Linked DNA regions of Lytechinus pictus. The protein of the gene in region 1 purifies or fractionates together with the protein of each later gene. This does not show direct contact. Links are inferred from orthologs where the notes say so. Each region holds a gene or a part of one and is shown on either strand. Other genes may lie near its edges.

Region 1 (13,162 bases):
TATTTCATAAACTTGTTGATAATTTATGTACACTTTATGCATGACTAGTTACTTGAACTTTTCAGAGTCTCAAATTTTGTTTCTCATCAGCTATTTGATTTTTCTAAATTGCGTGCTTCATTCAATAAAAAACAATCAAACTAAACAGATCATTAAGAGAACAGAAATCTGATCTTTGCAGATCTTTTGTCATGAATAAGCATCAGAATGCAAAATTTATTCTTTGTAAACATTTTCAAGGGTTATAGGAAATTAATGTCTGTTATGTTAAAACCAGAAGTATTTAAACTCGGGTTACTAGTCATGCTTGAAGTTGTGCGTAAATTACAAATAACATTATGAAACACCCCTGATTATATGTGCATATGTTGTATGTAGGCCTTTGTCTGCATTCCCATACATGACATATATTAAGGAAATGTAGCCGACTAGAACCTTTCCCTGCAGTTGATATTGTAATATTTATGATATTTATAATATGGACTGCTAGAATAGAGAGTTTGCATTTAAATGCCAATTTCGAATATTTAGCAATTGCTAAAAGGTGTCAGTACAAGGTTTTTAGCTGGATAGTACTGGGTTGAAAATTATTGTACAAATTTACACATAAAACTTATTCTGCACCAAAGACTTTTTAAGTAATTTGATATATGCTGGTATTTTTTCACTGGTTGTCAGTGCCTTACTACAAATGAGGACAATATGTTAATGGCACTTATTAGGTTATCTTTCTGTTGACAGATTACCTTTTATGTCTCTACAAATTTTCTTTTTATTTCTTTATTTTTATTATTGTTTATTTTCCTCATTCCACCCTTTTCTTTTTCCCACAAAATCTCCAAAACTCCTTTATCAATTTTCATCAATATTTTTTCATTTATGCGGACCTATCATGCGATGTGTATGAAACAAGTTCAAGCTCAAATAATTATCATGACGTCATCTAGGCGCCATTTTGTAAAATCAGATTATCAATCATATCTCCATTATCATTTCTCAAAAATCAAACATATGTACATCATATCAACTTCAAGTCAAGGGTCAACTATCCATGCCATTAAGGTCATGCACTTGCAAAAGTCAATTTTAGATTATGTTTCATTCTTTGCCTTATGGGTGTAAGAGAAATATTGTGGTCGAATGGATAGTGCATCTGCCTTATAAAGCGAGGGTCCCTGGTTTAAAACCCACTTGAAGTTTTTACTATTTATTTATTTGTATCCTTTTGCTCATAACACATTTATCATGTGCATTCCTTGTACCTTTTCACAGAAGTAATAAAAGTTCACTTTTCATAATGATGATCATGTTTGTCTGCATAAACTTGGTGATTATGATCGAGAATTAGATCATGATGATGATTGGGACCATGAGAATCACAGACAGATCACCAAATTCGTCCCCATGACAAATTAAATTTCTAGTTTAATTTTAGTTTGTAAGTTTATACAATATATCATTCTTGCAATATTTGCTGATGTGATTAGATAAGCTTGCTAAACTGTCCAGTTTATTTTCAGAGTTGCAAGGCTAGCCCATGATCATAACATCTTCCCCCATGCTATAACTACGGAAACTTTACTTTTTGTGGCAGCGGTGGGATGTGACCCCTGCCTATCAATTCATCACCAGTTTTCTATTGTATATCTGTAGAAACTTTAATTTTTGTGGCAGCAGTGGGATTTGAGCCCACCCCATCAATTATATGTTTCTTTGCACTCTGTCTGAATATAAAAACTAAATAGCATAAAACTTAGTGGTAAGTGAGTTGAAACTACCCTTTCAAAGTTATGGTTATAATTAATTGGTAACTGTTGGATTTTTTTATATATGTTTATGGGTACTCGTTTATTGTTAAGTGTGTTTATCTGCTCTGCATCATTCCTTCTGCAAGTACATTCTGATGCTCTTACCTGGGCTAGTTTCAAAAAGGGGCTTTCTCCTTGTATTACGAAAAGTGAGTGTGTGTCAATATAGCATTTCAGTTTACATAGCAGTAATACCTCAGTCACATTTGCTCTACGGCGCAGTAATACCTCAGTCACATTTGCTCTACGGCGGCCATATGGCGAGTCCAAAACAGCCGTTTTATTCACTTTTTATTCAAACCACATATATGTAGCTGGTATAAAAAATGTTAAAACGGCTGTTTTTGACTCACCGTACGGCCGCCATAGAGCAAATGTGACTGAGGCATAAGGCATTACTACCCACTGCAGCTCTGTGATAATGCTCACTGTGTATTGTGGTTTGAGCCTGAACCAGCTGCATGGGGTAGTAACCAACTGATTCAAACTGGAAATCTGTGGTTGGAACCACGCATTAGGTCAGATCGGTTGGTTGCTGACACAAAAGGTCAGTTCCTGGATGTAAATAATCATATCCGATTGATACATATGTGTCATTACCCACACACACATACCCATGCACACCCACCCCTTCATGCATTCCACACACACATAATCCAAAGTGTGGACAACAAAAATCTAAAGTTATTTAAACATAAGCTCTTCACACTGTTCTAGTATCTGTAGTAGATGAAGATACTGATTGGTGCTCAATGTTTATTTATTACATTGAATCGATATCTGATTAAATTGGCTTACATCATTATTTGTAGTAGTAGTATGTGCATACTTTTCCTCGTTAAAATCAGAAATACTGTAGGAATTTGCCTCATGTTGCAGAAGAAAGTAATCAAAGTGGATTTTTTTCTGTAAAAGAACAACAGGTAGATCTTTTATATGATTGGGCTAGAAAGTCTTTTTTTGTCAATGCATGAAATCCAATTACATTTGTGTCCTTGCCAAGATTGTAATCACCATGTTAAACATTCTAAAAATGTACAAAATAGTGTGTTTAAAGTGCACTCAGTCTAAAAAAAATATTTTCTGGGTAAATATAAAGGCAACATGATGGTTCAATTGACAGAGAGATTGCATGTTATGATTATTGCTTAATATCTTGCAGATTGGCTTAGCCAAAACATGGGAACGCTGAGCATTATCAGTACTCCTGTGAACTATATTTTTCAACTTTCAACACGCTCGATCTGCATTTGAAAATGTAGTATAAAGGCATCCTTAGAGTTGTGAATACCTTGTCACTCCTATGGACTACAAAAATGCTTGATCCCCTTTTATAAGGTAGTACGAACACATTTTTAGTGTATTAAATGCCACATGTCTTCTTACCAGTTCATTTAATTAAAAGGTGCCAAAGTTGACTCTGCTTGTATATACATGTACTGTGTAACCTTAGAAGTATGACATGAAATGGTTTTTTTGTTCTTTCGCAACCTTTCTGTATGTGGAATGTTGTAACTATGTCTGTAGAAATATGCTTAAATGCTAAGAAAAAAAAATATTGTGAAAATCATCACTTGTGATTTTAAGCATATGATTTGTACCAGAAATTGTTGTACTTGGTTTGTAGATTCAATGGCACCTTGTAGACATAATTCTGCTGATAGATGATGCTATTAATATGGATCACATGACAGATGTGATTTTCTAATCAAATATATTCAATTTTCCAAATTAAATCTGTTCTGAATCTTTAGAAAATTCTTTGAATGCAATAAAACCATATTTACATTAATAACCAAGAACAAACACACTGGCAATTATTTCAACTTGAATTTCACCTATAAAATGAACAGTTTTATAATGCAAAGTTGACTGCATATTATTATGAACATCATTTTTGTCACATTGAGAGATGTAAATTTTGTTTTGATATACAGGTAATTTTCTTATGCACGTGATATGGATATAATGTGATTCTTTTGTACATAAAGCCAATGGTTTATAAGAGATGAAAATGTTTTATGCTATATAGATCAATACTATGATAGAAATTTTTGAAATCCTATTTATTGTCTTGGTAATTAGATATGTACTATCTTATTTATGTGAATGTTTGTTAACTGATTTGATAAATTGTTTTAATGTAGATTTTTTGAGGTGTCATGTTGTGGATATTTGCATTTATAAGGGGATAAGATAATCTCATCTCCTGACTCCTAATCCAGTGATTCTCTTTAGACAAGATTATATATTTGTATATGCCACAGGATGTAATTTGACTCTGAAAGCATGGGGATAGTATCTCTTACTGAAGGTAATTAGTTTGTGTGGTTGGATTATTTGCATGTTTTTTTAATGCATATAACTATGTTGTTGAAATATTCAAACTAATTTCTAATTATTAGTAGTTCTTTGCTTTCACACAAAACACTATAAAAAGGATATACATGTATCATTAAATAACAGCACATCCTTAGTGCAAAATAGACCATGCGGAACTGTGGCACTTTATAACCTTGATATTGTCTTGTTCTTTGGGACTGCATGTTTACACACTAAATCACAGGGATCCTTAATAAAAATCAATCTAGATCAGCTGTGAGAAGTCAGTCAAGCTCAGGATTTTAAAAAGATTTGAATTCTAATTCTTTGAGATTGAAAAATAAATCTTTCACATTTAATTTTCAATCCAAATTTCGAGTAGTCATTATTGACAGCTGATCTTGATGTGTTTTAAATCTTATTTAGAGTGAACTACAGCATTTTGTGACATAGGGGAGTTTGTTTTCCATTAATTTAAATGTCTATGCAATGTTGCATTGCGTGATATAGAATTTATTTAGATGCCATAGTAACATGACTCAAAGTAAAACTGACAACTGCATATTTGTTAACGATTTAGCAAGGATATCACAATTTTTCACTGAACATAGGGCAAAAGTAAATAGATAATTACACTTCTTTGTTGTATGCCTTTTGCTTGAATAAACTGTATTTTATAACAGTGATTTTGTTGTTTTCATGGCATTGCCAATTTGGAGTGTGTAACGATTACCTTAAGATAATCAGATTTTATTAAGGAATGGCAGCACATACTGTTCTGGATATGGTATCTTACCTTTTTCATTACATTTTTCTTTTTCTAATCATATTTCATTTGTAATTGCTAGCCTTCATGATTGAGAGATACTACCTTGTGAGTCAAAAAAAAAAACTTGACACCTCACAAATCCCAAATTTAAGGAAAATTGTGTCATGATGACATCATTATTATATATGGCCTGGAAGAGTATGTCCTCCCGAATAATTTGATACCATATTTATGTGGGATGTGTTAATGCTTGGATTATCAGGAGGTATTCTTTGCAGTGATGTAAATTGATTTGTGCGAAAGTAAGTTATGACTGCAATGAATGAATCCAGATGTCAATGATATTGTAATCCTACAACGGTTGCATTAAAATCCATTTCAAAATGCCTTTTCAATAATTTACATTATAATTGTGTAATAAACACTTTCAGTGTCAATTCTCAAAATTATTTCATTGAAAAGGAATTTGCAAATATGTTAACTACCTCATGTAGGATTATGACATCATTGACATCTGGATTCTTTCAATGCAGCCATGCCTTATTTTGGTGCAAGTCAAAATTTACATCACTGCAAAGAATATCTACTGATCATCCAAGCGTTAACACATACCACATAAATATGGTATCAAAATAATTGGGAGAAGATACTCTTTCCAGCCATATATAATGATTATGCGTTCATGGCATATTTTTTCTTAAAATGGGAATTTGTGAGGTGCAAAGTTTTTTTTACTCACACGGTACACAAAAGTGTATCCAAATGAGATACTGTTACTCCATGAGTATACCCTCCTCAAATTATGACTTGATATCATGCCATATCATTTTCTCACTAGGATCTTATTTTTTATGGAGTTTGTCACGTTTTAGACATCTCGTATGCAAATAAATTTGCTCACTTGATAGTTAAGAAAGGAAAAACTTGTTTGTACTTGTGTTTTCTTTTCTTTTTTTACTTGTAAGTATGCATGCCATAAGTATGATAACTCATTGATCTTGCATCTATAATCTTTCACTGAATAGAATGATTGACCCATACAGAAAACCATGTGTAATGAATGTGTTATGTCATAGTTATCATCTATCCTACTCAGTAATGACACAATAAAATAGAGAGCACTTGAGAGGGGGAAGAGGGAGAGGGAAAGGGGAGAAGGAAAGAAAGAGAGACAGAGAGAGAGAGAGTGGGGGCAGATAAGAAGAATGCTAAAAAATTAAGAGATAATGCTCAGATCAGAAGATCGGTAGAGAAAGACGGGATGAAAGAATGAAGCATATGTACAGAAGCCATGACAGAAAAGTCATGTAGGGCTAAATGGGGCCTCCCCCCCCCCAAAAAAAAAAAAAAAAAATTTAAGGAAACAAAACTTTATGAAATAAAATGAAATAATAGGGTATCTATTCATGTGCCTATGCATATAGTTTTGATAATGCTTTATTCATTTATTTTTTTATCTATTTATTTATTCATTTATTCATACATCTATTTATTTTTCTATATATCTATCTATTAATCTATCTTACTTTTTAGTTCTCCCTTTTCTCGTGGTTTCACTCTTTTCTTATTCTAAGGCTTGTTCTTTAATTTAACCCTTTCTGTGTGTGCTCTTTCTCTCTCTTCCTCTCTCTCCCTCTGTTTTTATTATTCTACGTTTAATTTCCATTCCCCTTCTCTCACTCCCATTCTCTTCTCCTCCCTGTGTTTAACCGTTTCCTTTTTATTACCATAATTTAATTCCTTGTCATCGAATACATCTTACTAGTAATTCAACCATTGCAAATTTGATTGCTATGCAAATATGTTGTACTTTATATACTGACCTTTTTAAGGTAATATACCAATAATAGAAAAAGGGGCAAAAGGGCGGGAGGGATATTTGAGACGACGAGATCGATCAAACCAAAATACACAAGGGCCTATTCTGTTCCATATGTTAGATAAGATAATAACTTTTTTTTCTGTTTCAGATAAATAAATTATGGTCGTAGATGGCGCCCGACTTATCATTTGTGTTGATGATGGTGGAGGGATGATGGCGTCCGCTGCAAAAGAAAACGTTGAAACGGATGAATCAGGCAAGTATAGACCCTTATTTCTGTCTAAGTGGAAGTGAGGATGACCATCAAATTGCAATTTCGGGTGTAGTAGTTTTGTATTCCATCAAGCATTATTTAACCATTCGTTATGATGTAAGATTAAGAAAATCATCACATTTTCAATCATTGAATTGGATGTTTTTAAACGTGGTCCAACATACCCAATTTGGTGTTATGTGGGCGGTGGATAGGTTTTTTTTAATGTTGAGTGAGAGCGAAATTTCATATCACTGAGCGTTGACAGTATTAAACGTTGACGCTGTTTTGAATAAATTTGTAAGATCTGTAGATGTGCGTGCGTTCGGAACTTGTCGCATTGATTGGCCAGGATATCGAAAAATTCTAATTGGAAAGCCTTGATGATAAAAAATTAAAAGCACAACTCGTTGAACTTAAGGGCAGCAACACACGACTGCCATTTTTTCCTCTCCGGCAGAAAAATTAAAAAAATAAGGAATAAATCATCGGTAACATATAATTTTAATATTTTCTTGTAATATGTATAGTATCAAAAGAAAGATTAGAGTCTAACGAAAATAGTGGGCCTTCGACTTCGTTCAAGATAATAATGTCATTTAGAATTTAAAAAAATTAAAAATCTAGACAAAACCCGGTCGCCCGAATTGGTGGTCCTGATTACACTTGCAGGCTCGCACTAACACTACCGTTGGTGAATGGGAATGATAGTAAAATGTCAGAAATTGTTAAATAAATCCCAAGAAACGACGGTTATCCCTGTCTAGTTACTACCCTGCTTGAAAGAATTTGTAACAATCTGTCCCTCCCCTTCCCTACTTTCAGGTCAATTCCTGCCAGCAACCCAAAGGCCTGATGGAACATGGAGAAAGCCAAGGAGAGTAAAACCTGGATACATACCCCAAGAAGAAGTTCCTTTGTAAGTGTACTCTCCAGCTCAGAGGCAAAGGGCAGGTACCCCCCCCTACCCCCAATGAAATTTGCCCATGTAATCGGGAATGAATGCGTAAACAGGGCAGGGTCGTGATAGGAAATAATAATTTTATTTTTTTTAAGAGTGTTTGTGTGTGTGGTTTTGTTTTTTGTTTCAAATCAATTAAAACATGGTTAGAAACATGTTTTGAAACAAAACATTTTTTTGCCTGTCCTGATAAAGAGGAAATTGTGAATCTTCTTTACGTCAAATCAGCTTCTGTATTGAAACCATTTGTAATTTTATTTACAGGTCCTGTTACTGTAAGAAATACAACTGAACTATCTTGAGCATTTTGGTAGTTATTTCATCCCCAAATCCCTTATACTCTTTTTCTCTGCTTCTGTTATTTACAGGAAGCCCAGTGAATTACTATTCAAAGTTCAATAAAAAAAAAAGAAATATAGAATGAACTGAAGAAGGTAGAAAGAAAATGTCCATCACTTGATAATATTTTCCCCATGCTTTCACTACCAAACCCTTGTTTTTTGTAAAAGATCATTAATGAGAGGGTCTTGCTTCCGAACATTGCTTCTCAGTCAATTAAAATAAAGACTTTTAATTAAGTTTATGAAGGCCAGCTTGTCAGTTATGATTACATGTTTATCTTTAAGTAATGTTCCCTTGATTTCTAATCTTTGCTTTTTGTCTCACCTGCATAGCAGAGTGAGACTATAGGCGCCGCTTTTCCGACGGCGACGGCGGCGGCGACGGCGGCGGCGGCGTCAACACCAAATCTTAACCTGAGGTTAAGTTTTTGAAATGACAGCATAACTTAGAAAGTATATGGACCTAGTTCATGAAACTTGGCCATAAGGTTAATCAAGTATTACTGAACATCCTGCCTGAGTTTCATGTCACATGACCAAGGTCAAAGGTCATTTAGGGTCAATGAACTTAGACCATGTTGGGGGAATCAACATCAAAATCTTAACCTAAGGTTAAGTTTTTGAAATGTCATCATAAATTAGAAAATATATGGACCTAGTTCATGAAACTTATACATAAGGTTAATCAAGTATCACTGAACATCCTGCATGAGTTTCACGACACATGACCAAGGTCAAAGGTCATTTAGGGTCAATGAACTTTGGCCGAATTGGGGGTATCTGTTGAATTACCATCATAACTTTGAAAGTTTATGGATCTGATTCATGAAACTTGGACATAATAGTAATCAAGTATTACTGAACATCCTGTGCAAGTTTCAGGTCACATGATCAAGGTCAAAGGTCATTTAGGGTCAATGAACTTTGGCCAAATTGGGGTATTTGTTGAATTACAGCCATAAATTTGAAAGTGTGTTGGTCTAGTTCATAAAACTTGGACATAAGAGTAATCAAGTATCACTGAACATCCTGTGCGAGTTTCAGGTCACATGATCAAGGTCAAAGGTCATGTAAGGTCAAAGAACTTTGGCCATGTTGGGGGTATTTGTTGAATTGCCATCATATCTCTATAAGTGTATTGGTCTAATTCATAAAACGTGGAAATACGAGTAACCAAGTATCACTGAACATCTTGTGCGAGTTATAGTAGTTTTCAAAATCAGCACTGCTGCTATATTGAATCGCGTGATGCAGGTGAGACGGCCAGAGGCATTCCACTTGTTTCTTCCAGGTATGAGAGTAAAGGCAAGCAATGGATTAACAGCAAACCAAGACTTCCTCCAGGAGTCTACGAAGACCCAGTTCCTGCAAAGGTAGAAGAATCTAAGGCACTCACCAAGGCTGCCAAGAAGAACGAGAAACGTCGCCAGAAACGGAAAGAGAAGCAGAACGAGGTGGGAGAAGTCCAAAATGGTGATGTGGAACAGCTAAGGAAGGGGGTCCAGGAGGTCAGTGTGGGTGGAGGCGCGGATCCTGCGCCGGTCCTGCAAGATCCTCAGAAGAGGATTAAGAACCTTAAGAAGAAAATCAGGCAGATTGAGGATTTGGAAGCCAAAATTGCCAGCGGAGAAGTAGCACAACCTTCCAAAGAGCAGCTCGAAAAGATTGCTAGAAAAGGAGAACTTGAAGATGAACTGGACTTGCTGGAAGATGGGTCATGATGATGAAAATCTTAGACTGAGAGTGAAATTAAATTTTGCAGATAAAGAAATGGAAGGAGCTTCTATCTTCCTTGACCTACCCTAAAGATAGAAAGCCTAGCTGTGGACAAAAATGAAATTGCAGAGACTGAGAGAAAACCTTGCCATCGGTTGCTGAAAAAAAATATCTTGTTGGTCAATCAAACATGATGAAAAAATTTCACCAAGGACAACCCTTTTTAAATGGTAAGAAGATATATTTATCTTAACTGCCAGCTGCAAAATCCACAATGAGTCAACAGGAATAGTTCTCAGTCTATATTAAGCCAAAATATACTTCCTGTGTACATGTATGCTTTATACAATATTTAGAAAATTTATTAGCTTATCTAAAAATGCAATCTTCAACTACTTAACACGAAAGCCATGAAATTTATATCCAAAAATTAGACAAAAGAACAGATTTTGTACAGTATGAACGTCTCATGCTTTAAATGAAACTTTTCCTTTCAGTTGTGGGTTTTTAGTGCTCAAGTAAAATGATATTAGATATGATAAAAGTACTGTGTGTATCAAGGAGACAAGGTGGCATATGACACGTGCTCCACATCATTCAGGTTCTGCTCGGCATGGTAAATTATAGGGGGCGCCAGGACGAATTCACCCCAGAAATGTCCTGAAGAGCCAGCCATGGAAATTCCCATCTCCTTCAATATTTGATCTATGACCTTTCAACATTTTTGGGGCTACAGATCAAATTTCAAGGTCACTGGAATTGCTGCATGTAAATTTAATTATCTCTACGCTATATAATGTTTCCAATGAACTGGTGATTTTAAGAGGTATAACACTACAGGTTAAGTTGATTTAGACAGATAAAGACAACCAAAACACTGAAAATGTCATCAAAATTAAACAAGGAATAATAAAGTTATGATATTCTTAAACTTAGAGTTTTGCATTATTTCGGTGATCAAAAGTTCTATTCATGTGTTCATGAATATGTAATGAGCAAGCTCATGTCATATCTCCGATTATTTTTGTATCTTATTATTATATGAATTTATATTTTTCAATTTTTTTCCTCCAAGAATGAAAGAAAAAATGTATTGAATACTCCCGTTTTGCTGGGTGAATTTACTATATTTATGTAGATATAATTATTTTCATCCCATTGTATCCTTTAAGTTTTGAGTGCACTAGGTCGAGGATCAACTCTTTTTTTCTTATTCTGTTGTCAAATCTTACCATTTTTTAGAGAATAATCTGTAATAATTCATAGTAATGATAGAATTTAATTTTGAGTTTTGAAGAAACAATTTTCTATTCTGCATTTATGTATTCTTGACATAGTTGTAAGTCAAGTAGCAGCTTATGTATGTCGAGTCTAACCATAGAAAATGTGGTGGTGTTGTGGAGGGAGTAGAAATCTTCTAAATCACTTGACTTGGAACATAATACATTACCGTTACGTGTTTTTGAAATTAATGACTAGTGTCATCTGGTATTTGTAATTGTCTTTTATCATGAACTATAAAAAGGTAGCAACAAAAGCAATATATTGTAATACAACTTAACTCGGTGTAAGTTGATCTCGTGCAAGTTGAATAATTGCCTTCATCTTAAAGTCAAGGAAAGTTTTCAGTCCAGATTATGCAAAGCTTGTATTGTTTCCCTTTTTGGAGTGAAATTTTGCCTAAATCAAATAAATTTCTGTTGTCCTAAATCCTAAGAGACTCAACTTCCAATGTCAGACACACCTGTACATGTATACCATACTAATTGTCCAGAACCCTATCATTAAGAGTTATATTGGATTAAAAAAATTGATATCAACTCTTTGACCGGGTGGTAGTTTGGCAAATATCTGTTATTCTATTTATTGTATATTTTTGTGCAGTGTTTTTTCCCCCGACATGTGATGAATTTATATGTGCCAATGACCGTTTGAAGCGATTCCGCAAATCAATTATAAAATATGCAAATGAATTTTATAGTGAGGTGTCTCCTAGAAGCATTATTATCCTATGCTCTTTATGTCAATGCATGGTGACACTATCCATCAGAATGCCCCCATTACATGGGACCCTTTACACAAAGCAATAGACTGAGCAGTTGATTTCTCTGCTTGATGGCACACAACGATCAATGAAATCAATTGTAAAAATCAGCCGTACGATCAACTTTATCAAACAATAAACTTTGTGTTACAGGACCCAGGGGATGTAACCCTAACGGTGAAGTGTGAAGTAGTCATATTGGAGAGTCAGTGACACGTGAAGTATAATGAAGTGAGCATCCCAATATGGTGATGCATTATAATACCACATGCAACCAGGGGGCCATTTCATAAAGCTGTTCGTAAGTTAAGAGTGACTTTAAGAACGACTGGTGATCCTTTCTTGGGGTAAATGATTTCACCATTTAAATGTTCATTGGTGATTATTTAGCGCGTAAGAAACGTTCACCTGTCGCTCTTAACCTACAAACAGCTTTATGAAACATTCCCGAGGATTAAAGAGTGATTAATTGATTTTAATTAAGTCACAATTTAATTCTTTAGGGAAACAGCCCCAAATTCAATTAATTGAATAATGTATTGCAGTGTCTGTGATGCACTATGACAATGGTTATTTCTGTAAACCTTTTCTACAATAAAATGAACACTGTAAATATGTTTGTTTGCTAATTTACTATCTGTATTGAAGAAAAGAGGGTGGATCTATTAAATGATCAGAGAGAAGTGTGGAGACTCATAGGCCAAAATTCACAAAGGTGGTTTTTAAAACCCTGGGTTGAACCCATGGTTTCAGCAGATTTCCTGTATAAATTACGCTTATTTACCACGTACATTAGAAAATGTCCAATGCTGATGCACTCTTTTGTCGCAGTGCGCCAAATTGACGCCTGTTGCCATGGTTAAGTATGCTATTTTATTCATGAGTGAACTGTTGTGAATTAATGAGCCCACTCTTCAAACAGTGGACTCATGAATAAAATAGCATATCTAACCATGGTAACAGGCGTCAATTTGGCGCACTGTGACATAAGCGCCCATTGGCATTGGACATTTTTATACACATGCCCAATATGCGGTATATTAAGCATAATTTATACAGGAAATCTCCATAAACCATGGATTCAACCGTGGGTTTTAAAAACCACCTTTGTGAATTCGAGCCATAG
Region 2 (13,133 bases), on another chromosome or scaffold:
GACGGATAAAGATAGAGAGAGAAAGAGAGAAAAAAGACAGACAGATGGATAGATAGAGAGAGAGAGAGAGAGAGAATCTGAGAGATAGATAGATGTTAGATAGATAGATAAAGAATTATAGAGACAGAGAAGATTGACAAATTAACAGATAGATAGATACTGTAGTTACATATAGATAGATAAATAGATAAAAGATAGATAGATAGATAGATAGATAGATAGATAGATAGATAGATAGATAGATAGATAGATAGATAGATAGATAGATAGATAGATAGATAGATAGATAGATAGATAGGGGAGAGAACTTGAGAGATGGAGAGATGTTATAGATAGATAGATATATATATATGGACAGAAAAAGAGAAAGAGAGAAAGAGAGAAAAACAGACAGACAAAAGGATAGATAGATAGAGGGAAAGAGAGATAGAGAATTTGAAAGATAGATAGATGTTAGATAGATATATAGATACACTGTAAAAACTGTGGTGTTAAAACTGACACCAATTGGTGTTAATAGAGGACCACACCCTGAGGTGTTAAAATCACACCCTAGAGATTGAACATTACACCAAAGATGGTTGTAATAACACCTATAGGTGTAAAACTAACACCACCAATTTAACACCGGTGTAAAATAACTTGTGTGGTCCTCTATGTACACCGGTTAACACCACAGTTTTTGCTGTGTAGATAGATAGACAAAGAATGAGAGAGACAGAGAAGAGCGACAAATTAACAGATAGATAGATACTGTAGTTACATAGATAGATAAATAGATAGATAGATAGATAGATAGATAGATAGATAGATATATAGATAGATATATAGATAGATAGATATATAGAAGATAGATAGATAGATTCATAGAGAGAGAGAGAGAACTAGAGAAAGACAGATGGGTAGATAGATAGAGAGATAGATAATTTGAGAGATAGATAGATGTTAGATATAGATAAAGAATGAGACAGAGAAGATTAACAGATAGATAGATACTGTAGTTACATAGATAGATAGATAGATATATAGTTAGATAGAGAGAGATAGAATTTGAGAGATAGATATATAGACGGATAGACAGAAAAAGACAGACAGATGGATAGATAGAGAGAGAGAGAGAGAGAATTTGAGAGACAGACAGACAGATGGATAGAGAGAATTCGAGAGATAGATAGACGGATAGAGAGAAATAGGGAGAGAGAAAAAGACAGACAGATGGATAGAGAGAATTTAAGACATATATATATATATTGGATTTATTGCAATAAAAACTATCAAAATACAATCACAAGCAGTCAAAGACTGAAATAAGTGAATGTTTACATAATGTTGTAACCCGCACCCGTTGCGGTACGGGTTAACCTGCCGGTATGCCCCCGATCGCGGGTTGCGGGCCGGGCCGAGTTCATTCTCAAACCCGCAGACCGTTATGCGAAAAAAAAGGGAGAAGTAACGACGCATAATAAAAACATTAACAATGAAAATGGAGTTAGGATCATGTGCTTCTTACGTGGCGGATTCTTTTAGAGACGTAGATATTTCCTTTTAAAAAAATGCTGGCGTATTTTTGTCTTGTGAACAGTGAACTGGACTGAGACAGTTCGACATAAATACATCGAGTTGCTCTTTCGAAGAAGGAGCGCGCGCCAGTGCAGCGCAGCACAGTCGAGTCTAGTCAAAAGCAATCGCATAGGCCAATGAAACTCGATGTCGAGTTTCCCGTCCCATTTTTTCCAGCTCATAATGAGGATTTCATTATTCATTATTTTCCAGAAGATGAAAGTTTGACCTTTTGTAACCTTTGAACGCACTTTTATTCTGTGGAACTGTCTTGAAGCCAGGGAGCAAATCAATCATTTTTTTTCGGGGGTTCCATTTTCATTTTTTTGTAATATTTCAGGGTCTCCATTTCTACCGTTTTGGAGGCTACTTTTTTCATTTCGGGGGCTCTTTTCAAATGCTACGTTTTTGTATTTTGAGGAATCCCTGTTCACTTATTAAATTAATTATTACTTATTGTTTAATATTGCATGATTTTAAAGTTATTTTTTTCATGCTTAGAATCTTGGATGTGGGTGTGTTTGTGTGGGTGTGACTATGAGTTGAACTTGGATATAAATGAATTCAATGTCTAATTTCTACTCCATCTAATTCCAGTTCTTGGCCATGATTGTAATAAAGGCCCACATACCCTAACTTTTCCTGATGTTCTTTGAAAACGCAGATCTCCACGAAAATTGCATTTCTCTATGGGGGAGTCTAAATTTGGTGAGAATGAACTCATTAATAACTTAAATATACATGACAATGAAGAAATCATCTAACTTTATTGGCAGTTTTGAATAATATTCCCGAAATATAAACTCTGTCTGAAACATAAAATCACCATCATTGAGGCCTTTACAGAGCGATTGTCCCCCAGAGCTCTGGCAGAGAGACAGAGCTCAGACTGGCTAGCTAGTACAAGCGCCAATGCGTACGTGCGTGAGCCTCCCGTCGGCCTTGTAAAACAGATTGAGTTTTGTTTGATGATTTTTTTGTCTGATATGCCGTATGACAACTCACCAATGCGAGGTTACTAGACTATGGGATTTATTGAGGTAGCTCGACCAAACTCCTCGAGCGATGTTCGTGCAGGCTCCACTCCACTTCACTACCGCTACATCGGGTAGGTAGAGCGTAGTGTAGCAGAAGTGAAGTTGAGTGGAGCCTGCACGAACATCGCTCGAGGTGTGGTTGAGCATGCAGTGTCATTCCATTCACAAGAAAAAAACAAGAAAAGAATTACAGGTATTTACATGATCAAGTAATTGTGACTGAAAAGCTTATATTAATGTTTTATATCAGTTCTGAATCGAGATCTATGTCAAAATAGTAAAATAATGAATTATTTTCAGAATTTGATTTTTAAACGCGGTCCAAATTTCATAACGCGGGCGGGCGACGGGAAACTGAACATCGAATTTGCTGGGCAGCCTGGGCTACATGTAGCTAGCGCGCGCTGAGCTGCGGCTCCGATCCGAGGAGTTAATTGCGCAATGCTTGACTTCGAGATCAGAGCCGACCCATTTCGGGTACAAAGTAACCCAAAAAAACATTTTCTCTCCGGAATAAGAGGCGAATTTGCAAATTGTAAAGTAAATTCACTCTAGGCTAGGTTAGTAGTTGGCATATATTTTCGTGATTTGAGCCTGTATAGTGTGGGGATTGCAGAAATAATTTTCATTTTTCAAAGATAAATTTACTTGCGGGTTAAAACCCGACGGGTCAGCGGGTCCCGCTTGCAAATTATTGGATTATACGGGACGGTACGGTTTGGGTTTTCACTTGCAGGTTACAACATTATGTTTACATACAAATAAAATCATAACAAAATATAAAGTAAACATTATAAATAAATATCAAATACAATACAAAAGAAATGTATCATAAATAAATACAAAAGGCCAAAAGTACAACAGAGTGTCACCTAAGAAGAAAAATGCGGAATGAAAGATTAAGAAGAAAGAGGAGAGAGAAGAGGAAAGAGGTGAGAGAAGGGAAAGAAATTGGGATAAGACAAAGAGAAGGGAAAGCAAGAGGTGGACTTTGAAAGAGAATAGGATGCACCGAGGAGGCAACCTTCAGAAAAAAAAACTCATTATGCAATACAAGACATTTAACAATGGTAACAAGTAAATAAAGTAGTAATTGAATCGAATCGAGCACAAAAAAGGGAAAAGTAGAGCTGAGGAAATAGACTCCCGAAGGAAGTCGAAGCAGTGTTGTTATTGCACATGAATAGATTAATAGATGGATAGAGAGAAATAAAAGAGAGACAGATGGATAGATAGAGAATTTGAGAGATAGATGTTAGATGGATAGATAGATAGATAGATAGGTAGATAGAGAATGAGAGAGACAGAGTAGATAGACAAATTGACAGATAGATATATCATGTAGTTCCATAGATTGATTTATAACATAGATAGTGGAGATATGATAGATATAAGGATAGATATAATATGAAGAAAAAGAGGTAATTATGTGTTTTATTTTTCAATATTTTAGCTATTATTCGTTTTCATTCATATAAACGATCATGTGCGATAAAGTAAAAAAAATAATAATAATGGAGCCAACGTAGTTCAGCGGAACAACCAAAATACAGAGACTGCAAAGCGTTTGGTCTATAAGCTCAGCTGCATTTGCACGTATGTTTCTGCGGATATCTTCGGTGCGGACTTTTGGATCGAGCGCCCAGCTGATTATGTAAACAAACGTAGACGTAGACTCTTCACTAGTCGCTTTGTGGCTATTTTTCCGGAAAATGCCTTCGCCAGGGTGTAAAACGGAAACGCGCCGCCCGGCTTATGCATGGCTTACATTTTTTACATGGGCCAATTGCGCGAAAGGGTCTTTCCAAGGACCGTCTTTCGTGTCGCCCATCAGTTTTATGATGCGCTGTATGTGGGATTTTTCTGAAATGTATGATAAACATTTAAAATTTGTTAGCTAGCATTTATTTAAATCATTTTGACTTTTGAGTTTTGTATACAATTTCATGATAGGCCTAGGCCCTATATCACATCATTTTATAAACAAAGATTTTGTTTACTTTAACGGATGAATAAAATATGTTTGCAGGTAATTTATTTAAAATGCGTTTCACATGGCGCATCATAATAAATGGGCGACACGAAAGACGGTTCTTGCAAAGACCCTTTCGTGCAATCGGCCCCAGCCAGGGCGAGTGATCTTCATGATTGTGAGTGAAGCGTAGCTTTATTAGTTGACCCCTTAACCATAAATTTAGGCAATTAGGGGGGAAAAATGTGAAAAAATTGAAAAGAAAAGAAAAATAAAACACAAAATAAAAAGTAAGGTATTACAGAATAGGCCAATAATAGAATGGGCCCTAAAACAAAATATGCCTAGATCTAGTTAAAGTTAAAAGAAAAAATGAAAAGAACAGTAACTTAAAGAAACAAAAGAAAAAAGGGAAAAGATAAAGAGAGAGAGAAAAAAAATAGAAATCGATGAGAATGAAAAAGGTTTAAAAAAAAGAAAACAAGCTTTAGTTGACCCCATAACCATAAATTTAGGCAGTCTATCCAAACTACAAGTTAGTGGAGAAAAAATAAGAATAAAAAGAAAAAACGGAAAAGAATCAATAAAAGGAAAAAAAAGAAAATTTAAAACTTAAAAGAACAAAAATGAAAAGAATTAACAGCAAAGAAACAAAACAAAAAAGGGAAAAGGAAAAAAAGTTGAAAGTAAAAAAAATAAGAAAAGAGGAAAAGAAAAAAGAGAATGAAATAGAGCAGAAAAAGGTGGAGAAAGTTTTAAAGAAAAGAAAACTCAAATTATGAAAGCTTTTCATCCTTTCAAATTCAAAGAAAAAAAGGTCCAAAAAGCATGTATAGCCATTTACATGTATGTACGTGGAGAAAAAACAAGGTTTAAAAACTCCTCGAAACAGACGGCTGCCAGCTGTCAAGATTAGAGTAAGCTGCCCAGAATTCGACATGTTAAGCATTTTTTGCAATATTTTTTGTTCTAAAATGTCTTTTCACAAAAAAAAATTTACATCAATTATTCTATAATTGCAATGTTTATTTTCTCGTACATCTCAATATTTCAAAAATTTTGAAATGTATGTATTGTCATCTTTTGTGCCAGCTATTTGACAGCTCCTGCCCTCCGTTCAACATATATTGCTCGTTCAAAAGTCAATGCGTACGAGAGCTGCTAAATTGTGCTGCACTGCATGCAATATGCAACCGGGAAGTTGAAGCAGCCATTCACTGCTGCAATACACTTGGACCCCATGTTGAATAGAGGCCTGCCGCTAGCATGCCGTCATATTGATTTCTTTGCAAATTCAATGCGGTAGTTTTTCTGTTTTTTCTTTCTCAATTGGTCATTCCATTCGACATGGGGTCCGAGTGAAATGCAGTAGCAGCTGCAACTTTTGGTTTCTTATCACATGTGGTGAGGCTCAATTTAACGGCTCTCGTACGCAAGGAAAAACTCTACAGCATTGAACTTTCGCAGAAATCAAGTCGTCGGCATGTATGTGTATGCATAGCTGGACGAGAGAAAGACAGGAAAGAGAAAAGGAAATTTTAAATTTAAGACAATATCACTGTGCCTAAACTTTCATACAGTAGGCCAACAAATGATGAGACTGCCAAATCTGTTTGAACAGAAAGGTATACTGTTCAGAATAAATGAGTTTGATAATTCTTGAAAAAATATTTTTCTGTTTTTTTTCGTGAGTGAATCAAGAGGTAAATTGTAAGGTTTGTGATAGGAAGTATATTTCAACTTAACTCTCAAGAGATTGTTTAGTGTATTTTATGTGAGTATTTAAATAATAGTAATAATATTCTGCATTTATATAGCGCTTAACACATCGGAACAATGTCGCTAAGCGCTTTACAGATATATTATTACCCTGGTCATCGGATCCTTACATGCCCGCATACAATGTATGCACCTCTTCCACTCCCTGGGGAGCATTCAAACAAGAGTTCCAAGACTCAATTGCTAGGCATACTACATAGGCTTTCGCATCCTACCGGGTACCTATTTAACACCTGGGTGGAGAGTGGCAAATTGTGAATTGACGCCTTGCCAAAGGACACTAGGCCATGGTGGGATTTGAACACATGACCCTCTGATTACAAGACGAGAGTCAGAACCGCTACACCATGGCGCTTCCACATGTGATAAGTGATTTAATCACAGAGACTTAGCATTTAAACCAACTCCAAGTAGGCGTGTTTGTATACTCTCTATGTAGAAAATAAATGCTAATAATGCACATAATTTTTGTTGTAATTCTATGATGACCACATGTATATTTTTATTTCTACAGGAAAGCTTCGTTATGCCAACAATTCAAACTACAAGAATGATGTCATGATCAGGAAAGAGGTATGACAGTTATGGGTATTTACAGGGAGGCACCTTAATAATAATAATTCAATATTTATATAGCGCCTATCAAAATTTCTCTAAGCGCTTTACATCACAAAACCTAACTACTTAACGTAATAAACTAAACTCACTTATCAACTTAACTACCTTACATAACTAAACATCCAACGTAATAACCTTACATATATCTAAAATACCAACTTAAATATGGACATATTAACTGTAAAAAATCATACTATTTACGGAAGAAATATGTCTTAAGTGTTACTTTAAAGGAACTTAGAGAAGAATGGGATCTTAAGCTAAGAGGAAGTGAGTTCAAGAGTGTAAGAGCCACAACTGAAAAGGCTCTGTCGCCATGGGTGTGGGAGGTTGCCTTGGGAACAACTAAAAGGTTCTTGTTGGATGACCGAAGTGATTGGGAGGGTTGGTAGGTGTTGATCATGCTCGCGATGTATGAGGGGGGCTTTCCTTGGATGCTCTTGAATGTTATGACGAGGATTTTGAAGAAGATACGCTTCTCTACTGGTTGCTAGTGCAGTTGCTTGAGTGGTTTGGATATATCCTGTTTTCAAGGGACTTTATTGACAATTCTAGCAGCAGTGTTCTGTATTCTTTGTAGCTGAGAGATGAGAGTCTTTGCTGCATGTTTTAGCAGGAATTGAGCTAAGTGTTTTTCATTGCAGCTCTTGCATTTCCCATTGTTTTTGTTTTTATTATTATTGTAATGATAAGCAATGGAAAGAGCCTTGTGGGATTCCTGCTGAAAAGATGATGATGATGATGATGATGATGATGATGATGATGATGATGATGATGATGAGGAGGATGATGATGAGGATGAGTTGGTGATGATGATGACGATGGAATAGAGTTAATTTTCTTGAGGATGAAGAAAATGATGGCTGGTGATAATGATAATCAAGAAATGTAGATTATGATGGTGCTTGTATGAAGCTGCAAGAATCTTCTTGTTAAATTATAAATGTTTGTTTCATGGTTTGAATAATGCTTTAGAATTGTCTAGTGCAGCCACTATGTAAATATGCTCTCTTGTGCTTTGGTAGAAACTCCTTTTGATTATACTACAAATACCCTTTTCTCACTGCCAAAATTTTCCTTAACCCCATACTCTAGGTTGTCCAATCAAAGATAAGCAATGATGAATGGCTATCTGATTTAGTTGGGGATTATTGAATTTTTGTGAAAACCAAGAATTTCTTTAGCCGGGGCTAGGTAGAAAATTTTGCCTGTGTATAGTACAGGGTTAAATCTGGTTCCACAGCTTATGAGCTGCATAGCTGAATGCGCAATCATTAAAGAGTAGCCTGTTTCAGAAGGAATCTATCATGATTTGAACTTCAAGTTATGTGAGGTTGGCTGAATTTTAAAGAAAAGCAATTCTGAGAGATAAGTAGGGGCTTATGAGAAAGAAATATCTGTTCATAAATTCTGATGTGTAATCTTGCTTTGTTACAGGCCTATGTACACAAGGCTGTGATTGAGGAGTTGAAACGCGTCGTTGATGATTCCGAAGTGATGCAGGAAGACGATGCTCTATGGCCGCCTCCAGACAGAGTAGGTCGACAGGAGCTAGAAATTGTGATGGGCGATGAGCACATCTCATTTGCTACCACCAAGTTTGGTTCCTTGATTGATGTTAACAACAGCAGGTAATGAAAGCATATGTCATGACTGACTGATGAAAATAGTGAAAAGATGATGATGATCATCATCATCATTCAGACATGATATGATTCTTATTCAATAAATCCACTTAGTTGAAAAAATAGGTACTTACACCTTGTTCTAGGTAAAATTATTGATTTTTCTTTTCTTTTTTTGGCAAGAGGGTGCTGAGCATTTTCCTTAAGCACCAAATTACCAATACTTTTAATACTTTTCACTTGAAGTCAAGCAACTGCATGCAGTTAGAAGAAGTTCTACCAAACAAGCGTCATGTCTATTACTAGAAAAGGAAATCGTGTAATGTCAGTCTGAAGTGACTCATCACTCCTGATACACATGTAACTTTTCTTTTAGGGGAGGGAATTTCCCTGTAGTCTTGACCACGTACTTATTTGATTTGAACTGATATCCTGTTTTGAATCTGACAATCAAGCCAATTTCATTAAAGTAAATTCCTGTGTTCTTATTTACTGATAGGATACTTGAGGCCACTCACTGCCCCTATCCTCCCTTCTCTCCCCCCCCCAAAAAAAAAACCCCACACAAACATAAGTAAAAGATGCGTACATTAATTTTGTATTTGTGTCTGATATGTTGAATATTTGTTTTTCATCATTAAATTGATTGCCAGCGTAGGCCAAATTTCTGTGTTTTTACAGACAATAAATATTTTGAATCTTGAAGGTACTTAAAACTACTTCACATGTTTCTTCTCCCTCTACATGTATGTATATAATTTTTTTTTCTCTCTAAATCGCAAGTCAATTCTTCTCATCCAATCTTTGTATCTAACTTGATCCATCCTTTTTGTGAAGTGATGCTGTTGGGGTTGGGGTTTAAAAAAGATAGTAATACTGTTTCATGAACAGGAAGTCACAGGAGAATCCTATGTTCTTTTCTTTCTGATGCAGAGATGCTGAAGGTCTGCGCACATTCTACTACCTAGTACAAGATCTCAAGTGCCTGGTCTTTTCACTCATTGGCTTACACTTCAAGATCAAGCCAATCTAAGAGGACATTCCAGGAATTGCTCATTCCAAATTTGGAAAGGACACTTTTTTGTATCTTGTATAATAAGTTTCAACTAGAATTGGTTTGTTAGTGTAAGTTGAATTGTTATTAAAGGGAGTTTGTATCCAAGCCCAACACCAAATTGACCAGTAAGCCCATCTGTCTGAAGGAATGATCCATGAAAAGTGTGAACTGCATCAACATATCGTGAATAGCTTTGGTCGTTTGATGGATAATGATATTTGGAACAGTGTTCTGACAATGGTCACTGATGGAAAGAGTCCCCTCCAGAACTGACCAGACTGAAGTATACAGATCATCCACTTCAAGAGAACAGTATTTGTTGTTTAAATGCTTCAGAAGAAACTGTGAGGTGCTACAGATCACATCAATCTCATTACCAGGGTACCATTTTCATGAAACACAGAGATCAAGAACTTAGACTAAGTTTGAAGCAAAGTATCTGTGGAAACGGTGGCCGATCAAGCTGGGTTAGATACAATACTATTTCACAGGCCATGCAATTGTTTGTGAACAAAATGGTGGGTCTGTCCAATGTATTGTTTCTAATCTGGCTAGATCCACCTATTGCATGGGACACATGGTGTTGTCATCATGTCTCCAAACCCTTTTAAACAAAGTGATTATTATAGAAATTGTTAGCCTTATACACACACTTATCATTAGACTACATTATGGATGCCATGTTTGATTCATTGTTTTTGCATCAAACAAAAACTTGTGCTGCTGTCCCCATTGTCCATTTTGGTTTATTCTGTACTTGTAAGTTACACATTAGAAATATTTGTTGTCCATCTTGATAAAAGGAGGGCATGTGCATGCATGATAGAGAGACTTAATATGGTCTTTAAGGACAAGTTGTAAATAAAATCTTGAATAAGCAGTCTAATCCTTAGTTTGTGGCACACAATTGCTTTTAAATTGAAAACAGATAAAGGACCCGCAATATGAAGGTATTCAAATGAATATTTACTTTTAGGATATCTATCATTGAAGAGCGTTATTCATGAATTATGGTTTTAACTTTTAATATTAGATAAACACTGGATGATATGAAAGAATCATCACCTGTCAAATCCAGTCACCACAATTTTACATCTTTTGAAGCACATGATGTTACTAAAGATATCAATTTGGCAGGGCTTCTGTCATACACAATTTGCTTATTATATAGCATGTACGTTCGGAAATCATCAAACCATTTTTTTATTCTACCTTGTATATCACGAGTTATTTCTAAAAACCTAGTAATTATCTTGATATGTTGAGGGAAAGTAGTAGACAATTTGTACATTAATAGACTGTACTTAGACTGAAAAAATCAGCCTATTTCGGTCAGGATATGCTCCGCTGAGACTTCGTCTGGCCTTGCGGTATCCTGACTTCGAAAAATCAGAAAATATATTTTTTAATCCTCTGAAACAGCAGATTTTTCAGTCTAACTGTACTTATGTCATTTTCCAAGGATATGAATGGTCTCTGTTAAAGCCATTAAATGATAATTTTGCCAACGTTGGTTTAATATTCTTCTTCTGTACATAGTTTTTAGCTCATAAACGTTTGTATGTAGTGAAATGGGGACAATCTACTGTCATTATCATTGGTTTTAGATAGTTCACAAGATAGGTTTGTTGCAGAATTGTTGGAAAATTATACAATTACATTTTTCATCAGAAAGTACTGAAATGATGGTCAAGGTTGACATGTAAAATCTATCAGCGATGCAATTTATCAGACTGAAGTCTGAATGAAGAATTTTTCAACATATTTTCAGCATAGAAAACACCTTGTCCTTTTCTCTTGATTGCACCCAATAATTAATGTTATTGTGCATAAAATTGGCTCTGATCGTGTGCCAAGCTTTGTTTTACAAGGCATGTGAGATAGAAAATGTCTCCTGCATTTGAAACTTCTTATCATGTTTTCGCTTATAACACATACTGTTTGTATATGAAAATGGTCTGAAGCTTTGCTCCCATGTCTTATAAGAGTGTCTTGACTGCATCATCATAGTGGATCAAAAATTGATGTACATGTATGATATCTTCAGATGATAGATGAATAAAATGATACAAAAGGAAAGAGTGCCGTGAAATGAATAGTATGTCTGTGCAAGTTTAAATGCACCCTTTCCCTAATGGAAATAGGTTTTTTTTTTTAGATAATGCAATTAACCAGAGCTGAACAAGAATATATCAATATTTTTAATATAAGCTGAAAATCTGTATTTTGTAGAGCAACACATACTTCAGAAATCAGCATTTGCGTGAAACCATTTTACTCATTTTTCAGTGCTTAACACTGAAAATCTGTACTACTTAGCAGCTCTGATTAACCCAACTGAACATTTAATTTTTTAGCAATATTCCAGGTTTGGATCTTGCTGTGCAAATCATTACTTATAAATATATTGTTATATCCTGAAGGCTCTTTTTATTAAGAAGATTAAATGAAGGAAAAATCTCCCTCCAATGCTCTCCCCAAGTCTCTCACCCCCCCCCCTCCCCCCTCCCCTGCCCAGAAAAATTAAAATGTTGGAGACAAGTAGAGTTTTGATCCTCAGACCTCATGTGAATCACTTTCCACAAGATCATATATGGTCAAATGACCTTTAGGTGTGTGAATTACAGTTAAATACCCCCAAAGCAGAAAGAAATCAGACAGACCTACTGAAAATGATTAATAAGATCCTTTATGCAATACTGCCCAGGTTGCTATTCTCTAACGAAAAGGAAGCAAGTGATTTACTGACCATGAGATCGAGAGATAAGTATCATTTTATCAGCAGTGTTAATGACAATCTTTATCTTTTTTTGAGGAGTCGGTCACTTGCTTCCTTTTGGCATTACAGGGCAGAAGTGGTTAGAGTCACAAATGATGGTTGAGTGCCCATGTTGACCAATCTAGATGAAAATACTGATCTTGGTCGGTCTACCATGGAATGGTCAACATGCTCACGTAACTGCACTTGACCATTATGACCGACACTTGATCATTGCCCTTACGTGTGAAAGCATCTCGAGTGATTAAATTTTATGGGCATTTCTCCCCCCCCCCCCCCCCCCCGAGAGATCCTTTTTATGAGATATCCATTCACCCGTAATTAATAAGCTTGGATCCATTTTGTATCCATTAATTTAAGATGAAAAAAAAAACCTGTTGATAAAACGCTCTTCAGAAAGCCTGCCAGTGGCCTCCTAGACCTTTTGTTCAAGGGTTCCAAGGACAAAATATTAGAAACTTCTTTTCAACATACAGGCACATTCAAATGAAAGTGCAGTGAAAGGAAAATAAACTTTAAAAATTTGGAAAATATCTATAAATAGATCTGTAGTGGATTGCAAACCACAAGTAATTGCTAATTGATTATTCTTAGATCTTCACATTTTAGGTATTTTTCTTGTGAATATTTGGGGTTTCATTATCCTTCAGAGGGAGAGAGAGAGTGAGACAGAAAGGGGGAAGCAAGACAAAACAGATTGACAAGA

Evidence for each region.
Region 2: the proteins of partner of Y14 and mago-like (region 1) and protein mago nashi homolog purify together in Drosophila melanogaster (affinity purification with western blotting; 4 studies listed by BioGRID, with this or other methods). This does not show direct contact. The link is inferred for Lytechinus pictus from reciprocal best matches to the Drosophila melanogaster genes Pym and mago.

What each region holds. Positions count from the first base shown.
Region 1 is NC_087257.1:24,605,573-24,618,734, reverse strand, and holds partner of Y14 and mago-like, read left to right. Parts: upstream 1-6,893; 5' UTR 6,894-6,931; coding exon 6,932-6,977; intron 6,978-7,799; coding exon 7,800-7,893; intron 7,894-9,567; coding exon 9,568-9,997; 3' UTR 9,998-12,649; downstream 12,650-13,162. UniProt on the Drosophila melanogaster protein: Regulator of the exon junction complex (EJC), a multiprotein complex that associates immediately upstream of the exon-exon junction on mRNAs and serves as a positional landmark for the intron exon structure of genes and directs post-transcriptional processes in the cytoplasm such as mRNA export, nonsense-mediated mRNA decay (NMD) or translation.
Region 2 is NC_087248.1:1,643,577-1,656,709, forward strand, and holds protein mago nashi homolog, read left to right. Parts: upstream 1-6,818; 5' UTR 6,819-6,840; coding exon 6,841-6,921; intron 6,922-8,403; coding exon 8,404-8,597; intron 8,598-9,524; coding exon 9,525-9,624; 3' UTR 9,625-11,727; downstream 11,728-13,133. UniProt on the Drosophila melanogaster protein: Core component of the splicing-dependent multiprotein exon junction complex (EJC) deposited at splice junctions on mRNAs. Involved in exon definition of genes containing long introns, including the rolled/MAPK gene.